Mytilus edulis: one gene and its partners. The protein of the gene in region 2 purifies or fractionates together with the protein of the main gene of each other region. This does not show direct contact. Links are inferred from orthologs where the notes say so. Each region holds a gene or a part of one and is shown on either strand. Other genes may lie near its edges. The genes, in order: pre-mRNA-splicing factor ATP-dependent RNA helicase PRP16-like, serine/threonine-protein phosphatase 4 regulatory subunit 2-A-like and protein phosphatase methylesterase 1-like.

The links.
Region 1: the proteins of serine/threonine-protein phosphatase 4 regulatory subunit 2-A-like (region 2) and pre-mRNA-splicing factor ATP-dependent RNA helicase PRP16-like purify together in Homo sapiens (affinity purification with mass spectrometry; 3 studies listed by BioGRID and IntAct, counting the BioPlex papers as one, with this or other methods). This does not show direct contact. The link is inferred for Mytilus edulis from reciprocal best matches to the Homo sapiens genes PPP4R2 and DHX38.
Region 3: the proteins of serine/threonine-protein phosphatase 4 regulatory subunit 2-A-like (region 2) and protein phosphatase methylesterase 1-like purify together in Homo sapiens (affinity purification with mass spectrometry; 3 studies listed by BioGRID and IntAct, counting the BioPlex papers as one, with this or other methods). This does not show direct contact. The link is inferred for Mytilus edulis from reciprocal best matches to the Homo sapiens genes PPP4R2 and PPME1.

What each region holds. Positions count from the first base shown.
Region 1 is NC_092348.1:89,211,942-89,218,831, reverse strand, and holds the start of pre-mRNA-splicing factor ATP-dependent RNA helicase PRP16-like, read right to left. Parts: upstream 4,357-6,890; 5' UTR 4,067-4,356; coding exon 3,738-4,066; intron 17-3,737; coding exon 1-16. Other genes in the region: leucine-rich repeat-containing protein 69-like, read left to right, coding at 4,605-4,781, 6,500-6,626. UniProt on the Homo sapiens protein: Probable ATP-binding RNA helicase. Involved in pre-mRNA splicing as component of the spliceosome.
Region 2 is NC_092344.1:52,047,763-52,054,652, reverse strand, and holds the start of serine/threonine-protein phosphatase 4 regulatory subunit 2-A-like, read right to left. Parts: upstream 3,900-6,890; 5' UTR 3,783-3,899; coding exon 3,746-3,782; intron 3,612-3,745; coding exon 3,530-3,611; intron 1,594-3,529; coding exon 1,423-1,593; intron 784-1,422; coding exon 690-783; intron 1-689. UniProt on the Homo sapiens protein: Regulatory subunit of serine/threonine-protein phosphatase 4 (PP4). May regulate the activity of PPP4C at centrosomal microtubule organizing centers.
Region 3 is NC_092351.1:40,372,337-40,379,226, reverse strand, and holds the start of protein phosphatase methylesterase 1-like, read right to left. Parts: upstream 4,442-6,890; 5' UTR 4,397-4,441; coding exon 4,323-4,396; intron 1-4,322. Other genes in the region: C2 domain-containing protein 3-like, read left to right, coding at 4,706-4,751. UniProt on the Homo sapiens protein: Demethylates proteins that have been reversibly carboxymethylated. Demethylates PPP2CB (in vitro) and PPP2CA. Binding to PPP2CA displaces the manganese ion and inactivates the enzyme.

The DNA of each region.
Region 1 (6,890 bases), on a different chromosome or scaffold from region 2:
TGGTGGTCTATAATTTCTATAAAAAACATGGATAAAAAACATTTACTTTTACAAATGTACTTTCATCATTTCATAACAGTATTTTCAATCCAGGGAAATTCAGAAATTATTACCTGCATTCATTATTACCATTTTTGAAAAATGTGAATGAAGAAATTAATTATGTATAAACATGATAAAATAAGTTTTTAATATATGAATTAATTCATAAACTACAGGCAACTACATACCAAAACTTACTTGTCCGAATCAAATTGTAACTTGTCCAAAAAAAATCTTAATAATAACCTTTTTTGTATTTTAAGTTAATTCAAGGAACAAAATAAAGTAAAACAATAGAACAGAATTTGACTTATTTCTTTTGAAATACTTTTCAAAAATATGAGTCGAGAACAACTGAATCTAGTCATGTCACAGGACTTAGGTTCTAGTTTTTATCAATGCCAAAGTCTGACCAGACTTTGCACATGAGGCACCATCTGATAGGCCTGTCAATATATACACTCATTTGATTTGTATCCTGTTTTTTTATGTTGAAAAAAGTTAATTCAAATTTATGCAATCAATAAACTAGAGGATCTTACGAGCCTGTGTCGCTCACCTTGATCTATGTGCATATTAAACAAAGAACACAGATGGATTCATGACAAAATTGTGTTTTGGTGATGGTGATGTGTTTGAAGTTCTTACTTTACTGAACGTTCTTGCTACTAACAATTATCTTTATCTATAATGAACTTTGCCCATTAGTAACAGAGGAAATTATTTTGTAAAAATTTACAAAAATTTACCAAATTAATGAAAAATTGGTAAAAATTGACTATAAAGGGCAATAACTCCTTAAGGGGTCAACTGACCATTTTGGTCATGTTTGACTTATTTGTAGATCGTACTTTGCTGAACATTATTGCTGTTTACAGTTTATCTCTATCAATAATAGTATTCAAGATAATAACCAAAAACGGCAAAATTTCTTTGAAAATTACCAATTGGGGGGCAGCAACCAAACAACCAGTTGTCCAATTCATCTGAGAATTTCAGGGCAGATAGATATTGACTTAATAAACAATTTAACCCTGTCAGATTTGCTCTAAATGCTTTTGTTTCAGAGTTATAAGCCAAAATCTACATTTTACCCCTATGTTCTATTTTTAGCCATGGTGGCCATCTTGGTTGGTTGGCTAGGTCACCGCACACATTTTTTAAACTAAATACCCCAATGATGATTGTGGCCAAGTTTGGTTAAATTTGGCCCTGTAGTTTCAGAGGAGAAGATTTTTGTAAAAGATACAAAAATTTATGAAAAATTGGTAAAAAAATGACTATAAAGGGCAATAACTCCTTAAGGGGTCAACTGACCATTTTGGTCATGTTTGACTTATTTGTAGATCGTACTTTGCTGAACATTAATGCTGTTTACAGTTTATCTCTATCTATAATAGTATTCAAGATAATAACCAAAAACGGCAAAATTTCTTTGAAAATTACCAATTGGGGGGCAGCAACCCAACAACCGGTTGTCTGATTCATCTGAGAATTTCAGGGCAGATAGATATTGACTTAATAAACAATTTAACCCTGTCAGATTTGCTCTAAATGCTTTTGTTTCAGAGTTATAAGCCAAAATCTACATTTTACCCCTATGTTCTATTTTTAGCCATGGTGGCCATCTTGGTTGGTTGGCTAGGTCACCGCACACATTTTTTAAACTAAATACCCCAATGATGATTGTGGCCAAGTTTGGTTAAATTTGGCCCTGTAGTTTCAGAGGAGAAGATTTTTGTAAAAGATACAAAAATTTATGAAAAATTGGTAAAAAAATGACTATAAAGGGCAATAACTCCTTAAGGGGTCAACTGACCATTTTGGTCATGTTGACTTATTTGTAGATCGTACTTTGCTGAACATTAATGCTGTTTACAGTTTATCTCTATCTATAATAGTATTCAAGATAATAACCAAAAACGGCAAAATTTCTTTGAAAATTACCAATTGGGGGGCAGCAACCCAACAACCGGTTGTCTGATTCATCTGAAAATTTCAGAGCAGATAGATCTTCACTTGATAAACAATTTAACCCCCATGTCAGATTTGCTCTAAATGCTTTGGTTTCAGAGTTATAAGCCAAAATCTACATTTTACCCCTATGTTCTATTTTTAGACATGGGGGCCATCTTGGTTGGTTGGCCGGGTCACGGGACACAATTTTTAAACTAGATACCCCAATGATGATTGTGGCCAAGTTTGGTTAAATTTGCCCAGTAGTTTCAGAGGAGAAGATTTTTGTAAAAGTTAACGACGACGGACGACGTCGACTACGGTTGACGAACGCCAGGTTAGCTAAAAAAAAAGATAAGGTATGATTGCTAATCAGACAACTCTCTGCAAGAGACCAAATGACACAGAAATTAACAACTGTAGGTCACCAAGTATTGTTTTTTCTACATATGGTCAAATATGATTTTGTAAATCTTATGGTCAATAAATTCATTTCTACTTTTAAAATAATTTTGTTAAAAAAATTACTGGTATGGTAATTATTATAATGCAACAGAAAATTGTAGGGAAACAAGGTCTTGGTCCCGAACTGTCTATTAATCATGTCTCATACAGTGCCAAACTGTCTATTAAAATTGGGGCTGAATGTCTTAATTCCAAGCTGGTGACGAACTGTCTTGTAAAGTTACCTCATCTACAAAGCGCATACTGATTTGGTCCATTGGATCAGAATAGTATGCCTTTTACCTGTCAAATAGTACCTGACAAAGAACCAGTTTTTATTGTCGATTGCAAGTAAACATGTCAAATTAATACATGTACTTGTTTTTATCTTCTTTTTTTTTTGTTTTTTGTTTACAACTACTTTGTTCATCAAAGTTTGATTAAATTGATTTTTTCTGCAAAATAATTTTACTTGTCGACAAGGTTGATATAGCTTTAACTTGACCGACCTTTTTTTACTCTGGTAACAGACAATAGGGCAAGCGTTATTGTCAAGACCTGAACTATAAATAACAATCATGACAATTTGTATTTTTTTAAATATGTGAGTGCTAGCTATATAGATAGTTTTATTCTTACAAATTCAAAAATTCTTCAGACTTTATTTCACGTCTTGGTTATCAATATTTGGGCAAAGAATTTAGGGTTAATATACACAACCAGAATAACTAAAGGAAAACTTTGAAAACTATCAGAAAAGTGTGCATTTCCCTGCCTTTAAAAAATACAATTTCAAACTATCAAAATAATAAAGAATAGATAACTTGTTTTATGCATATACATGATATATAAGCATGTTTTAAATATGATGATACAGGATAAATATAAAAGTTGTAAAGAAATCTTGCTAAAGGATTAGCTGATGGTGACTGAGTGACCCTGTCTCCTTTATGAGATTACCCTGCCTTATACTATCATCCTCTATTATCTTATCCGATTTTAATGTGTGTAAATTAAACCCACCTTTCTTTACAACTTTTATGCTTTGACAATTTATTATCTTAAATTTAACTACACTTAAACACTGCCTGAAGATTGCATTTCTTTGTTTACAATCCAATGTTTATATGCATGAATATGATGATACAGGATAAATATAAAAGTCGTAAAGAAATCTTGCTAAAGGATTAGCTGATGGTGACTGAGTGACCCTGTCTCCTTTATGAGATTACCCTGCCTTATACTATCATCCTCTATTATCTTATTCGATTTTGATGTGTGTAAATTAAACCCACCTTTCTTTACGACTTTTATGCTTTGACAATTTATTATCTTCTTCATCACTACTTGAGTCACTACTATCACTTTCATCTTTGCTGTCTGTATATGATGTCACCTTTGATCTTTTTGTTGTATTTTCACTTTTGATATCTAATTTCCTTTTTTCTGCTGCCAATTTATCAAGTCCCAATAGCGATACCTTGGGAAGTGATGGTTTCTTGAATTGAAAGTCTCCATGTTCTGATTTCTTTTTCATTATAACAAGTCCACCCTTTTCTTTGCCCAATGAACCCTCCAATCTGTGTAATTCAGGATCGTCATCTGGATCTACGAAACTTGTCATTGTGAAATTAAGTTTTTTTACACCTGCACTGTAGAAGTAAGAGGCATGATTTACAATTACTTGTACAAATCAAACATCATCAGATCATGTCCCATGATGTGGTTTTGCTAAATATTTTAGATGTTTTATGACTTGACACGTGTTTATCCTTATTACACTGGGGAAGTATTAATTGGAAATATATCTCATAGGCATATTTAGCAGGTTTTATCTAACAACACCAACTTTGAAACATAAATAGTAAATCATGCAAAAAACGTTTTGAAACTTTAACCGGAAACACTCTCCAATTTAAGAAACCACGAAAATGATAAGGTGCGATCGAAAAAATTTCTGTAAATATCATAAATATTCAATGTTTATTATTTTTTTCCTTTATCGTAGAATTATTGAGAGTATTCATATCAGAATATTTTAAAGCATATACCTACATAGTCTTTCAATATCTTAAAAATGGAATAAAGAAACATTTATTTTATATTTACAAATAGATGTTTTTCGAACACACCTTAAAAGTTAGCAACAAGAAAGCGTCAATATGGCGGACACCTTGCTAGTCCGTGCATTGAAAGGGAAACCAAAAACGTTGAATTTGTGTAATAAGAAACTTGACAAGGTTCCAAGGGCCATTGGAAAATTAGACTGTGTTGTACACTTGCAGTTGAGAGGGAATAAATTGAAGGATTTACCTATAGAACTTAGCCATTTGTTTCAGGTTGATATTTCCCATAAAATATAATTTTAAATTCTGTAAACAAATTTGTTATCAGAGTTAATGTTTCTTATTCAGGTGTAACAACTCAGAAAAGAAATTAGCATATCCATACTGAGTATTAATGTAAATGAAAAATACCGGCTCAGTTTGTCGAGAATATGAGGTATCAGGTCCGTTCGCGCCCAATATACTTTCGCACCCTACACGTTCGCACTCTACACGTTCGCGCCCAATTTTAATTCAAATTCCAGTTGAATAATTGGAAAATCATGATTGTTGTTTTTAATTGCTTTCGTGTAAATACTGAATGTATTTATAGCTTGGTATGAGTAAACATTTGAAGATTTTAAATGAAAAACACAAAAGATAATTGTTTTTAACAGCTTGGTCCCTTTGATCTGAAACAATGAAACAATAAAATATAGCAATACACTATTATAACCAAAACATGATAAAATTTATTCAACACACAAAAAATAAAAACGTAGTCAGAATCTCACTTCATTTTGAAACAAGTCATTGAATAAAGTTATAGCAATACATAAACCAAAACATGATTAAGAGTTATTCAACACAAAATAAAACGTTGACAGAATCCCACTTTATATAGAAAGGAATATTTTTTTTTTAACAATACACTATCCAAAACATTTCAACACAAAAGAAAAATGCTGTCTCACTTTATTCTGAGACAATGAAAACAATTATACTTATAAGAATAATACTTGCCAAAACTTGATTACAAAGTTATTAAACACAAAACCAATTAAAATTGGGCGTGAACATGTAGGGTGCGAACGGTTTTTGGGTGGAAACATGTAGGGTGCGAAAGTGAAAGGGGGCGAACATGAGTGGGTGCGAACGTGAATGGGCGCGAACGGACCCGGATTCAGAATATGATAACACATGTGCACTCGTGCAGCATTTATCTGTTCAGCCACCATAGTGTTAATTAACAGCTACTTATTTATTGTGTGGCATCGCAGTATTAACATTTGAGGTCAAGTTCCTATTAATATAATTGGTCAATTTCATGGTGAATTGTAGTATTTGTAATATGTTTGTAAGATTCATCAAATTAATAAACGGGGTTGGAGTTATTGTCAATGTGACAATGACCCCAACCTGTTCCTTTCTGTGCTGAGATTAAGATGGAATGGCAGACTAGTTTACTCCCAGTAATTCAAAGAATAACGGGAGAGTATTTACTCCTTTTTTGACAAGATTTTATGAAAATGACAACTTGGACCTTTAATTTGAATCTGATTAAATTCAATTTTTATGACTAAGTAAAAAAAAATTTATTCTATAAGTCAAAAAAATAGGTAACACTCAAAATGTAAAAGTGGAAAATTAAGATGCTATTTATCTCCCCTGAAACAGGTACATTTGTATGTTATGGCCTTACAGTTTATCTTTTGTATTATGTTTTAGGTATCAGATACTAATTTGTAATACAAATGTACCATCTATGTACCAATACAATGCATCAGATAATTCCCTTTCCTTAATTAGAATATTATAATATGATAGGGAACCGAGGTTTTACAAAGACACATCTTGAGCTGTTTTTAATGAATAAGCTATACAGGCTGACCAAAGTTCAGTAGACATTAACCAATCTGTAACATCATATAGCATATGTATTGTGACAAGACCTGTTCTTTCTTATTTTAATAAGGCCACATGTAATAACAAAATATCTTTTTGTTTTATAGTTACAGATACTGAACTGTGGAAACAATGAACTTGAAGACTTACCAGAAGTTTTGGAGTATCTCACTATGTTGGAGAAATTACATCTGTTTAACAATAACCTAAAGAATCTGAACCCCAAAGTCCTAAGTATGTATTGTTCATCTTTTTAAAGTGTTATTTACTGATTATCAAGTTTTATATGATATAATTGATATGTAATGTAAGTCTTAACAATACTGTTGTTGAAGAGTGCCACTGTACATGTTTAGTAAATAAGGGTAAGATTGTTGCAAATGCATTTTTACAGAATATTGCAGCAAAAGAGTTAGTTCTAGTGTTTACATGATTGTTTAACTTATTATATTGTAATGTTTTTTTAATGTGTTAAACCTGCATTAGATTGTACAGAAT
Region 2 (6,890 bases):
TAACCCATATATATGGTCAACTAGTGTAATCACCGAATATCTACTTTTAGCCCAAATGCATTGATACAGAAAATTGGCTAATCTGTCTATCATGTGTACCACCAGCCTCGGCCCAGGTAAACATAAATTGCCACATTGAAAACTGAGTTTTACGTAGGCCAAGCTTCAAATACAATACTGTTATCTCTAATGTTTATTTTCAGGCTTCTGTTCCCCTCAGAATATAATATTAAAATAAGATAAAAAGAATATTTTAAGGTGAAAAAAAGTGATTTTATTTTATTTGTTATTATAGTCAGGACAGTATTGTGTTTATAGGGTTTTCATGGTTGGCAAAATTACTATATTTGTCCTATTCGAATCAAAATTATACTTATCAGCTATAGATTTGTTTATATTTAACCATGGGTTGGGGATGTGTCCTCTAAATCTAACATGTCAAATAATTTGATAAAGTAAATATATTGAAATCTTTGCATTTATAAATGTACTTGCATCCGAACATACAGGACTGAAAGAATAAATTGAAAATTATTTTAATACTTTTTTACACAAAAACTCATCTGTACTACTATTATAATTGAAAAGTTTGTTTTGAAAACAAGTTTGGTATAATGGATGTGGACAAATGGAGATGATATACTGGTAACTAACAAATGCTTAGAACCAGGTGAGCTTAAATGTCTTACCTTTTCAATGCCTCTCAAAAATTTGTCACATCTTTTATAATGCCTTTTTGGTTCATTGATTAATTCACAAAGCCTTTGAACAGTAAATGGTGCCCTAAATGTAAAAATAAGAATAATATAACTTAAATCAAAATTACATATCCCCAATTAAGTTCCCTGGTCTCTACTTATATATTGGTACATTGTATCGTATTCTCACAATAGACCTTTTCTAGGATTTGAACCTTTAGATGTTCTGTTAAAATGGCAATTATTACAATTGATTCAGGTTTTTTCTAAAGGGTCATTATATTTAATAAAATGTTGAACTATTCTAGCTATAAAAGGGTGTGTTCTGCAGATTGATTATCATCCACTTCAGGCATTTGATTTCTTTTTCGAAACCAAGAGATAACAATTGACTCATTTTGAAGTCAGTGGTTCACTTATATTTCAGTTGTAGCTGTACATGTAAGTGTAAAGTCATGAAAATGACTAAAATACAAAACGTCCTGACTTACTACCATGTCAAATTCTGCAAAACCTCAATTTTATCATAAAGAGATTATTACCACATATTTCAATATATAAGTAAGGGAGATTACCTCCCCTTTGACACAAAGGACAATGGCTTCAAATTTATTCCTTATAAAGCCAAACCTCAGTTTCATGTAATCAACTTATGACATTTTCATGTTTAATCATCTCTGAGAAATTTTGTATGAGACAAAATCGTAGGTTAGGATTTTTTTACCCTTGAAATTCATCCATTAAGGACAGGATTCTCCTTCTCATTTCGTCATATTTTACTGGCTCAATATTTGGTGTTGTCTGCAATAAGTCTGTTGGACTGGTCTCCTTGAACTGTGTCATGACTAGATCAACTTTTGCCACAAATAACTTTTTCAGCTGATGCCATGGAAATCTGAAAAAATAAGTATTATAAAATTATACATGTACATGTGACTTTTTTCAATTTCTTGCATATAAAAATAGACCTCCAAAAATCTTCAACTATATGTGCATTCAAACTGAGGACAATGGAAGTTATTAATCTTCCACAGTTTAAAATTAAAAGTACCAAACTGTGTTGTCAATAAAATGATCAAGCATCTTTATGATTTCAGTCTTGTCTGTATGTTACATAGTGCAGGTTCCGATCGCGGATATATGGGCACTAGAAAACTTAGTTTAAATTTGAGTTGTTTCTGTTAAAACAAAAAAAATAATATATTTGTATCCTAACCCTTTCGCCGATGAGTACCGGTTTACCGGGATTCACGCTTCAGACAGCTGACGATGAGTCCCGTTTTACCGGGAATCGGAATACCTCTTTTATATTTCCCGCTCAAAACAGTGCTAACATGAGTTATCTTTCTTTGATAAATATCCGGATGAAAGTGTAAACATGGCGCTTCTACATGTTGAAAACTGTGTCAAAATCAGAGGAAATTTACTGAATTTACGAGAATTTGAAATGAGGGAACATTTTTTTTGAAAGAATATGGAAGAATTGAAGCCAAACTAGTATACTTTTTGGACATAAAATGTTGTTTTATGTACGAAACACTTGGAATGGACATCGTTCAGTGTGAGGAATTTGTACAGCCTAGTAAAATTTTTCAAAATTTTGCCGTTTTGGGTTAAAAAATTACAACTTGGGGTCAAAGAGCAGAATTTTGATAATTTCACCTAGATAATGCCGAAAATTTGAAAATTTGAATATTTTATGAAGAAAAATTATCAAAACATGAACAAAACTGTGAACATAGTGTTAGTGAAAAAAATAAATACACAAATAACTACAAACAAGTTTTTATTGACATTTAATATGAAGATCTCCAACTTAACTCTTTCCTCCATTGAAATTTTTTTTTTGCATACTTGATTCGCATAGGATTTTTTTAATAAAATGCTGAACATATACTTTAAAGTATTAATGCATTGCGAAAAACAAATATTTCTTCAAATAAATTTAAGTCAGATATTCCTATGTTATTCCTTTTCATATTGGATACAAATTTTATTAAGTCAACTGCAGACACTTTGTAGTCAAAGCGTTTCAACAGAGGTACTACACAGGCGTCATTATGGAGTAAAGGGGGTGGCGTCAAAAGGTGTCACTATGGAGGAAAGGGTTAAGTAATAGTAGCCAGGGAAGCCATCGTCTCAGAGTAGCTTCAGTCTGGGCAGCTATCGGTGAAAGGGTTAATCAGGGTTCTCACTATTAAAGGAATTTTGATGGTGAGTCCACGGCCTCATCTTGTTTGGCTATGGCGAGTCAAACGGTGAGAAGATGAAAGTTTGTTGCTACATGTACATGTATACAATTCATTATTTCTGTCCCTATCAATAAATACATGTAGAGCAAGGATATGACATCAAATTTAGATTTTTTATAAAGATGAAGTTATGTTACAAAATGATGACTATAAACACTTCTCAGATCTGCAGTGACATCACAACCGGGTCTGAGACTTCTTAACGAACTGAAATGATCAATGCCCAAGTGGTGTTTAGCTGGATTGGTTTGTGGTCAAACGTCTCGAAAGCGTCTTGAGAGGCATTAATATTTTACTTTTTCATTGACACCTTCCTACGCCATAGTTATTTGTTCTCCTTTAGCCTATGATTTGGTCAGTTATTCAAACCAAAACTCAGGTTTTCTAAAAACTAATTTTAAAGCCAAGGTAAGGTATCAAATCATTTAATTGACATTATGTCAATTAAATGATTTGATAACTTTATTTAATCTTGAGATAATTTGCCATGGGGTGGGGGGCTTCAATTGTCAAATGAAGTATGCATATATTGACTACAGTACGACATATAACCTAGGTCAATCTTATAATAAAACATACAAAGTTTTTCCTGTTTTTGCAACTTGATGCAGATACTGGTCTAACAATGGAGGGATTTCTGTGCATGGTTTCTTCTCAAATTCTGAAAGAAAAAATAAAGTACTATTAAATTCACGTCTTTTTTTAAGGAATCAAATTCAAAACAGAGTACTATCGTGTAGTTCAATACTACACTTGTCATTGCTTATCTTTAGTCATTAATTTGTGATATATTACCGTTCAAAGCGTCTAAAATATCCTCTTTGTTTTCCATTCTCAAACTGGAGGTCAACAAATGGCGGCACGGAAATGACGTTATGGCGCAACTTATTTCATTCTTTGGGGGTGATAGGTAAGTTCATTTCCGATAATTCAATATTACAATAAATTTGCTTTAAAATTGCACTGAATGCATTTTGAATAAAAATTTAAACCTAGGAAACGTGTTGCTTAAACTATATTACTGCCATGGTAGGCGTAAGGAAATAATTAAACCCCCTAATTTCAATTTTAGGATTTCCCTTTTACCTAGGTCTCACTAATTAGCGACAAGAAGAATTTAAGCGACAAAAAGCGTCAAGACGCGACAAGAAGAATTATTTTAGCGACAAGAAGCGACAAGAAAACATATTTTTTTAATTAAAATTACTTTTTCCAAATAAATATTAAAAGAATATGCAAAAGAAAACAATTCTAGCGACAAGAAAGGTAAATATTGATGAAAAAAAATTGAAACATTTATTTACATGGTATTTATCATTTATTATGTATAACAGCTAGCATTACGTTTACCCTGAAAAGGCTGTTGTATTATGAGATTACTTTTCCTTGTGTTTTAGAACGAAACGATGTGTTAGCTACTACCGCCGAGCGGAGCGATGCGAACAAAATTTGAAAATATCAAAAATCCAAATATCATTGAAAACGTGAAAATCTGTTTACCATGTATATTGACATAAGAGACAACCCCCCAAAACAGGTAAAAAAGTCACTAAATGTTCACGAAGAGAAATATTCTATCACTTTTCAGGGCCGTAACTAGCCTCTGTTAATAGTGAGGCAAAATATATATGCTGAGCGTAGCGAGGCGAATTTTTTTCGGCGAGGGGTCTGGGGAGGGGGGGGGGGGGGTTCTGGGGACCGCTTAGGACCCCCAGAAGCTTTGAGAAAAATAACGCAAAATCATGCATTCTGAGCGTTTCCCAGACTCTTTCTAACATTGAAACGCAATTAATATTTTAGCCATTTTTCTCCGACAATATGCTGGTCTCAAAGCAAAAACGTAGATTCATTGTAATTTGGGACTTTTAGGTTTTACGGAGACAACATCATTAACAGACCGATGTGTAGGATAAAGCAAAAATCGTAAGTCTCATGAAATAAAAACCGGGTCTGTCTGTCTGTTCTTGTTTTGTATTGTGCTTAGACTTTGGTGATTTTATAATGACTAGATTTAAACATAGTGACAGTGCAGTAATATACTTTAAGTACTAGTACTGCCTAAGTCGACACTAAGAACCATCTTGACCTTGTTTTACGGTATTAATGATTCTTTTATTGTTGAAGACCCTCCGTCTACTACCAAGATGAAGAACAGGAATAAAAACTTTGAACATTGGTCATTTGTATTTTTTCTATGCATTGACTTTGTGTGAGATTAGTTCCCGTGTACGTTTTCTCCATATTCCTTTATTTTCTGTTAACAAGACTTAATGCAAGTTTAATCCTTCAATGTAAAAGGTCATATAGCTATACAGTGATGTTTTTTTTTATAGATGATTTGATACCGATGAATTGGTCGTCTTACTTTAATTTAATCCATGTCAGCTGTTTAGTTTTATCTACAAAAAGAGTCAGTTTTGTATTCTTTGATATCAAGTTCAATGCCCCATGCAGAAACGACCAGTTTTTTCTGTGTCCAGTAGCATCGTATATTCTTAAAATATTTTTGTCGCACAATGTCTGGACATCGGTTAACATGCAACATTGCAAAACCACACGTTTACAAATGGAAATTAACCCTCAGACTATCGTCACAAAGTAGGACAATAAATGAACAAAAGACAAACCCGGGACACATAATAACAAACAATAGACCATCAACTCTGAAAACAAAACTAAAAGTAAAATAGAAATATGGATCACGAAAAACATGCAGGGACGACAGCAGAGAGTGAAGAGAACTTTCTTTTTTGCAAGACACTTTCCGTGAACACAATTTGATATGAAGACAATTTTTTTGTTTCATTTTTTTTTTTGAAGTTTTCAACATGAGGCATTTGCCTCATTTGCCACAATGTAGTTACGGCCCTGCTTTTCGACAGTTTCCATTTCAATATAGCGTTTATAATTTTAAAGTACCAGTTACACAAACTGTGAGAAAAAAAATTGGGACCCTATTATGCAGAATTTTTTTTCAGTTTTCGGTCATAGGACGGTTAAAAGAGGAGCTATGTGTAGATAAAAAATTATGAATGTGAAGCTATTAATAAATCTTCTGAATATAGTAATACATAAACAACACATATTTGTGATACAGAATTTACTCAAAATTGTCCAAAATCTGATCTTCGGGTCTGGGCAGAAACAAGCTTCTTTATTACTTTGTCAACATTCACACTGAATTCCATGAATATGCAGTAATGCTATGTAACTTTCGTTGTTCATTGTTGATCGTACATTTGTTTTCAATTACATGCGTAGTACCGTGACTGATAGATCTCAGGGCCATCATGGCATGGTAGCACTCGCGAGATGTTATAAACCAGCGTACGTGTTCGGCATCGAACGATCTCCCAATTGAATTCGTCAGTTTCGTATGTTTCTGACAATATTGAGATTTGTTCGTTTGTGATATTTCCTACAACGCGATGAAGCAGATACAGCACAAAGAAGCGATTTTCTGATAACTTGGCGCGACTCCACTCTTCAGTTGCCTTATCATATGGTCTATGAACGCAAAAAATAATGAGACTTTCCAATACTGTTTTGGCGTGGTTACAGGGTGATTGGCTCCGGTAGTCTGTCAACCACATCGCCTCGGCATATTTTTATAACCCCGTGAAATTCCGGCATAAGTCCGTGAACTTCGGCACGGGTTACATTAAAGTCTGTAGGTCTATAATCGACACTATGGCTGCTTTAAACGCAAGACCGTATAAAAATATATACAAATTTATTAACACAAGTGTACAGTTCGAAAGCTAGGGGAAGACTGTCCCAGCAACAGTTTACAAAACATAAATTAAGTCAAAGATAAGGGTATTAAAACATTATAAAAGGTTCTCATAAAATATACATTTTGTAAATATAATTGTCCAATGTTATGTAATAATAATAGGATTATTGTCCTCCGGCTCAACTTAGCAAAATAACGATAATT
Region 3 (6,890 bases), on a different chromosome or scaffold from region 2:
AAGAGAAAGAATTAAAATTAAAATTAAATATAAGAAATAAAATTAAAATTAAATATAAGAATAAAAATTAAAATTAAATATAATTTTATTTTTTTTATAATTTGAAAATGAAATAAAGACGATTTTTAACAATATATTTTGTTGCCAATTATTTCAATAGTTTGGTGCCAATAAACTATTTTGTATTTGTAAACCGTAAATATTTCATCTAATTCAAAATAATAAGCCTAATAAAAACCAAGACTGTTTTCAATAGAAGTTAAATCAAATTGTTGAGACTTCAATCCCGTAAATTATACGAGTTTTCGTTGATGGTTATATTATTTCCCGCTTTTAACGTCCTGTTCCTTTATATGTTATTATAAGAAACTCAATTTTAAGTATAAGGCCAACATATATATACAAATATATATAGGCATTGTGAATTAAGTCAATCTAATTGAAATTAAATCTCTCACTCGCTATTTTTTTTATTCTTGGTCGCTGCGGGGCTCCCACGCAGCGACCAAGAATAAAAAAAATAGCGAGTGAGAGATTTAATTTCAATTAGATTGGAATTAAGTTATTTTCCTTTTGATACAACTTTCCCCGTCGGAGCCTCTACATCTATTCACACCTGTCAATCATTTCTCGCAAGTGAAACATTTTGGTCAGACAGATCACTCGTGCTTTCTATTTTGACATATTTCCCGTTAATCTCTTTGAAAGTCAAACAATTGGTTTCCTTTAATACAATATTTATAACGCCGAGATCATATTTCGATTCCTATTTTTTTTATTTTATTTAAAATTGTTGACACTCGAGATAATATGCCTTTCTATTTTCATGTCTAAAATATTTTATGAAAATCGCCGGTGTTATAAATATATTTTACAAATTGTATCAAATCGATACACGAAAATCAAAGTTTAACCTTATATAGTTTATTGACTAAATGCACATTTATACCCCAATGGGGTTGAAGGCTATTCGTACTAGTCATGATCAGCTGTCTTTACTTTTTCGTCGTACTTCTAGTCATTCTAAAGCTCGCGCAGTCAGTTTGATTTTTTAAATCGATGTTGTATTATTTCCGAAGTTTAAAGGAGGTCTCCAAATAGATTATTTAATTGGGAATCCGGGAAATGACTGATAAAAATAAAACAAAAAATAGTTAAAGAAGACTAAATCGTGTTTTTATTATACATGTATGTAAATCGATTAAATTTCTATTCTGGTAAATCGATCAAGAGCCTCAAAACTAAAACACAATACTGTCAATCATTCCACATCAAATTTAATCATGAATGAATTTTCCCACGGTCGGTCAGTAAGGTCACCTGTGTTTACTGTTACGACATTTCCCGCCATATAAAAATCTCGTGCAGTGGACAAAATCGATCTTTAATATCTTTTATTAGCATTCAATATTATTGTGAGTGGAGTCAAGTTAAAGTTCAACCACGTGCACACGCTGTTGATCACTGATATGTGTATCATGGAATTGTCTTTTCACGGCAATTTTTTCTTTTAGATTGCTATAAAAAATATAACATACAAGTTTCCTTTGTTACATGGATTGTGCGTAAATTAATATTATGCAAATAAGTTCGGGATTTCGGGATTAACCCTTTCGGGATCTGGGAATTCTTTTTTCGCGATGTCGGGATTTAAATTTATTTAAATTCGGGACCTTGTGACTTCGTGTTTTTAAGCCCGGGATTTCGAGATCCGGACCCCTTTTACCCCTACCCCCAAATGCAGATCAATTATATTAATTTAGCATAATGAACAAACACGGAAATCTTAAAATAAACTTATGCCCGGGAAGAATCAATATTTTCTTCTAGTGTTATTATTTGCGTTCTATTTTAGTCATACATCTCCAACTTTCGGACAATATTTGTTTACAGTAAAAAGTAAAAACTACAAAGAATCATCAAGCTACTAATAATATACAAAAGTTGCTCACTGTAATTATTTTTTATCTCGGAACTGACACAACAGACAGAATATTAAATACAAATTTTAGAAATATTTTGCATGTGACCGCGTCAAACTAAAATGTATGCAGCAGCACTTGAGATAGCATTCTGCTAATCAATGGATTTACGTGGAAAATAAATCAGTAAAATAAAAATAACCGTAAGCTTCAAGAAATAGAATACATGTAAAAATATATATGTTTAAACAATTTATGCAAACAAATAACAAAAAGATACAAAAAAAAACCAAACGAAAAGGAACATAAAATAAAAATAATTTTTAGGAACAAAGAAAATAAATATTAACAGTTGAAATATCAAAACCATAATTAACAAAAATTGGCTATTTTTATTAAACAATGTTTTCTCCAGTACTTCACCTGTAAAAATATTTTATGTCAAATACGATGTCGAACTAATATAATCAATAAAGTGACTGAGAGGTTAAAATTACAGGTAATCTGATTCTGAAATCAGTGAACCGTAATTTTAGCAACACGGATTAAGATGAAAGGACCATTCACACCTGGATCTGTTGTTTAATGAACATACTACCTACCATAAAAATGTCCGATTATTCATATCCGACTAGACGGATTAAGACATCCATAAAAATAAGTCCCTACCCGTACTGTATAGTAATGGAAAAAAGACCAAAATACAAAAACTTAACATTGACAAATGAACCTGTAATCATGACAGTCATTCCATATACAATTTTCATTATCAATGGGTACATTTCAGTCTGGCAGGTTCCTTGGTCAATGTTAAGTTTTTGTATTTGTGGTCTTCTTTCCAATGTTACTATAGTGTTACTTGCAATATCCAAATAAAGTCAGGTCACTGTCCCGATATGAATTTTGGCAATTTGTAGCAGAATAAACAATTATTGTTTCTAAATTTATTTTTTTTTGCAGATAAACATAGCCTAGTAGCAAGCAGCAGCGCCGTCATAAATTATAATTAGATATATGGACTTCTTCTGATTTCACAAAAAATCAAGAGATGTGGGTAAGTTGTCAATTAAGTATTTACAAGGACAATCTCCACCCCAACAATTGCTTATATGCTTATAATCATGATCATATTTGAAAAAACTAACAAAAACAAAACAAAAACTTAACATTGACCAATGAACCATGAAAATGAGGTCAAGGTCACTGTCCCGAAATGAAAATCAAATTGTTGCTGCCTTACCACCCTCTAATCAAATCAAATTCAGAAAGAAGCTCATATTACAGTAACTAAACAAGATATTAAAACAGCAGCAAGAATTTTAGTAAATAAAAAGTGGCAACATAGATGGGATAATAGTAGGCAACATAGATGGGATAATAGTGATACAGGAAGATTTTATTATAACTTTCATCAGACTGTCAACAAAAAATTGACATTTGATTATCCAGATCATAAAACAGCAAAAATTATTAGAAATTTAAGATCCGGATACTACCTAAAAAATTACCAAAATAAAATCAATCAAAATATAGACCCCAAGTGTGAATGTGGTCAATTAGAAACTGTGGAACATTATTTATTATTTTGTGAAAATTATGAACAAGCAAGACAGAAACTTATACATGAGATATACTTCAACACAGGATCGTTGCATATTGATTTGGAACTTTTATTGTCAATAGAAAAAAACGACAATGTCTCCGTCTCTAATGAAACACTAATGCGATTGTTGGGTGACTTTATTTGCGAGTCGCGCCGGTTTGATTAATGTAATGACTAATGTTAGATTTTTTTTTTCCTTTAAATTTTCATGTTAATTAATAAATGTATATATATTTTTTAATTTTGTAAAAATATGTTAAGCACAGTTGCCACCTAATAGTATATATTTTAAAGTACAAGTGAGTTGTTTACCAGAGTGAAATATATATATACATGCGAGACTTGAATAATTACAAGGGAGACAATCAAGTGTCAACAGCGACACCTACAGAATACAGAAGTTGCATCTGTTTAAACGTATGGTGACGGGGCAGATCTAGCCATTTTAAAAAGGGGGGTCCCAACCCAGTACAAAAGGAGGGGGGGTTCCAACTATATGTCCCCAATCAAATGCATTGATCGGCCAAAAAAAAGGGGGGTTCCAACCCCCCGGAACCTCCCCTGGATCCGCCAATGTGGTGATATGGCTTAAATAGCTATTTCAACACTGGTCTGGGCAGTTTATGGTGTGTTTGACTAGTATGTACTGAATATAGAGAGTACAACTTTTTTTCTGAAAGACTATTTTAAATTTATGGTATTTCTGCCATTAGTTCTTGTTTATCTGTAATGACATGTTATGGTGTTATTCAGCTGTTCATGCAATAATGAAACTGCAAATTTAAATGTGTATTCACCCTACACCAGGTGGTGGCATTGGTGGTAAACCTCCCAGTTTGTTTTTCAAAGCTTGTTTTTCCATAGCAGACATCTTGTTCCGGAAAGTGCCCGTTTTTGTTTTGTTTTGTTTATTATAAATATAATAAATTTTCAACCCAAACATTGATTAATTATTTGGATTCTCATTTTTTACCGTTAAAATTAAACATCAGTTGTTTAAATAATATAAACTACGAAAATTATATCAGTAAAAATAAGTCTCGCACTTGCGAGATTCAGAATGGCGGACAGTCCGAGAAGAATGTTTGGCTGGTAACAGCTATGTTTCTGCAAAATATAGCTATTCTGTGCATATATTCTCATTATTTTAGGAATGATGTAACCCATTAAATTCTTTAATATGGTGAAAAAGAAACAAAAAGGCACTAAGTCAACGAAAAAACAAGGTATACCCCTGTTAAAAGTGTTTGTTTACATTTTGACCATGTTTATACATGTTTAAAAATCAGCAGGTTGGCGGCAATTATGTACATTTATAGTCAGTTAATATCGCATCAGTTCTGTTTCCTATCTGTAAACATAGCATGAAATAAATGCATTTCGATCTGTCATAGGTTTCCAATATGGCGCAATTTAGTTATATCATGGTTAAATATTAAGAAAAGGGGGAGGTGTGGGAAGCTGTAAGTACACTACCTTGTCCCTTCCTGTTGGTGATTCTGTGGAATTTTACATATTATATGTAAACCATAGACTTAATATGAGCATTGTTATTTTAAAATGACAATTTTAGGCGTAAATGTCATTGGAAAAAGGGCAATTTTACGCGTTCATTAATATCACTGAAAAAAGGCAATTATTGAAGCCTCATAATTCATTCGCACATAACTTTTATTATGCATTCTTGTAAATTCAAGTTTCAGTTAAAATGGAGTAATATATTTCAATACTTTTTGCACAATTTTATATGGTTGAATTGGGTTACACTAATGACTGGACCGAATGACAGGACAGTGATTTTCCTGGTGTTTAGGAGAAGGGTCCTAGGGCCCATGCAATTGGGAAAAATATGATTGGTCTTTACGACGGCGGGCACACGGCAGCCGTGTGCGCCTCGCTAGGGGGGTTTGGGGGCATGCCCCCCCCCCCCCAAGAAAATTTTGAAAATTAGGTGCAAAATCCTGCATTCTGAGAAGGATTAACTGCATGAATTGCCTACAAAATAAGCTTTAAGGAAAAGGATTAAAAATAAAAGTTGAATGTGTCTGAGGACACATTTGCATGCACTCATGCTTTGTAACTTTACTCTTGAAAGGTAAAATTCAACAATTACTTCTGATTCTATTTATAATGATGAGAATCTATAGAAATTCTAAAAAGACACATTTGAAATCTGAAGCATTTATTTTTTAGTTTTATTTAAAATTCCAAGTTTTCCTTCATGTTTATTTTTAAACATGTCAACTAGTTGTTCCAGTTCTGTATCTGAGAGTCGGTCTTTTCCTTTTTTCACTTGTTTCATCAGAAGGAAGTAGAAACGACTTTTTGAATCCAAAAGCTTCCAGCTTCCGGCATTTACTACCGTCCGCCGCCTTTAGCTTCTTTGTGTAATATTTGGAATTATGAGACATGATCTACGTTCATTTTGTTTACATTATGTCTCAAGCGCAAACGTGACCAGAATATCGTAGATTGCAATTCAATCCAAAAAAGATTGCAAACCAATCATCGTCTTAAGTGAACGATAATGATAACTCCTGAAATAGCCCGAACGCTCAGAGATTTGTCAACAAAATAATACACGATACGGAGATACGACAATAACAAAATCTTGCGACGATGTCCATATACGATTGGGAATTTTAGAGCTGAAAATTGGGAAAAAAAGAGCATATTTCTCTTTGGGAATGGGGCCGAAATTCGGCCCCAAAATGAGGGTTGGAAAATCACTGCAGGACCAATTGAAAAATGCTAATAACTTTTTCATTTCTCAAAGGATTGATCTCAAATTTGAAATATAATCAGATTTCATCATTTGATATACAGATTTGTAAAAAAATTAAAAAAAATTGTAAGAAACTTTAGAAAACGTGACATGACCAACTATGATAATGACAGGACCAAATAAAAATGCTAATAACTTTTTTATTTTTCAAAGGAATTATCTCAGATTTGAAATATAAAATGATATGTCATATTATGAAACCAAAATGTTATAAAAAATATAGATTTTTTTCAAAAACTTTAGAAAACGTGACATGACCATCGCTGACTGACATGACCAACCTCGACAATGACCGGACCAGATGATATTGCTAATTACTCTTGTATTTCTCAGAATATTTTTCTGAAATTTGAAATATAATAAGATTTCATCATTTAATATATAGATTTAAGAAAAAAATAAAAAAAAATTGTAAGAAACTTTAGAAAACGTGACAGGACCAACTCTGATAATGACAGGACCAACGTCGACAATGACAGGATCAAATAAAAATGCTAATAACTTTTTTATTTTTCAAAGGAATTATCTCAGATTTGAAACATAAAATGATATGTCATATAATTAAACCAAAATGTTATAA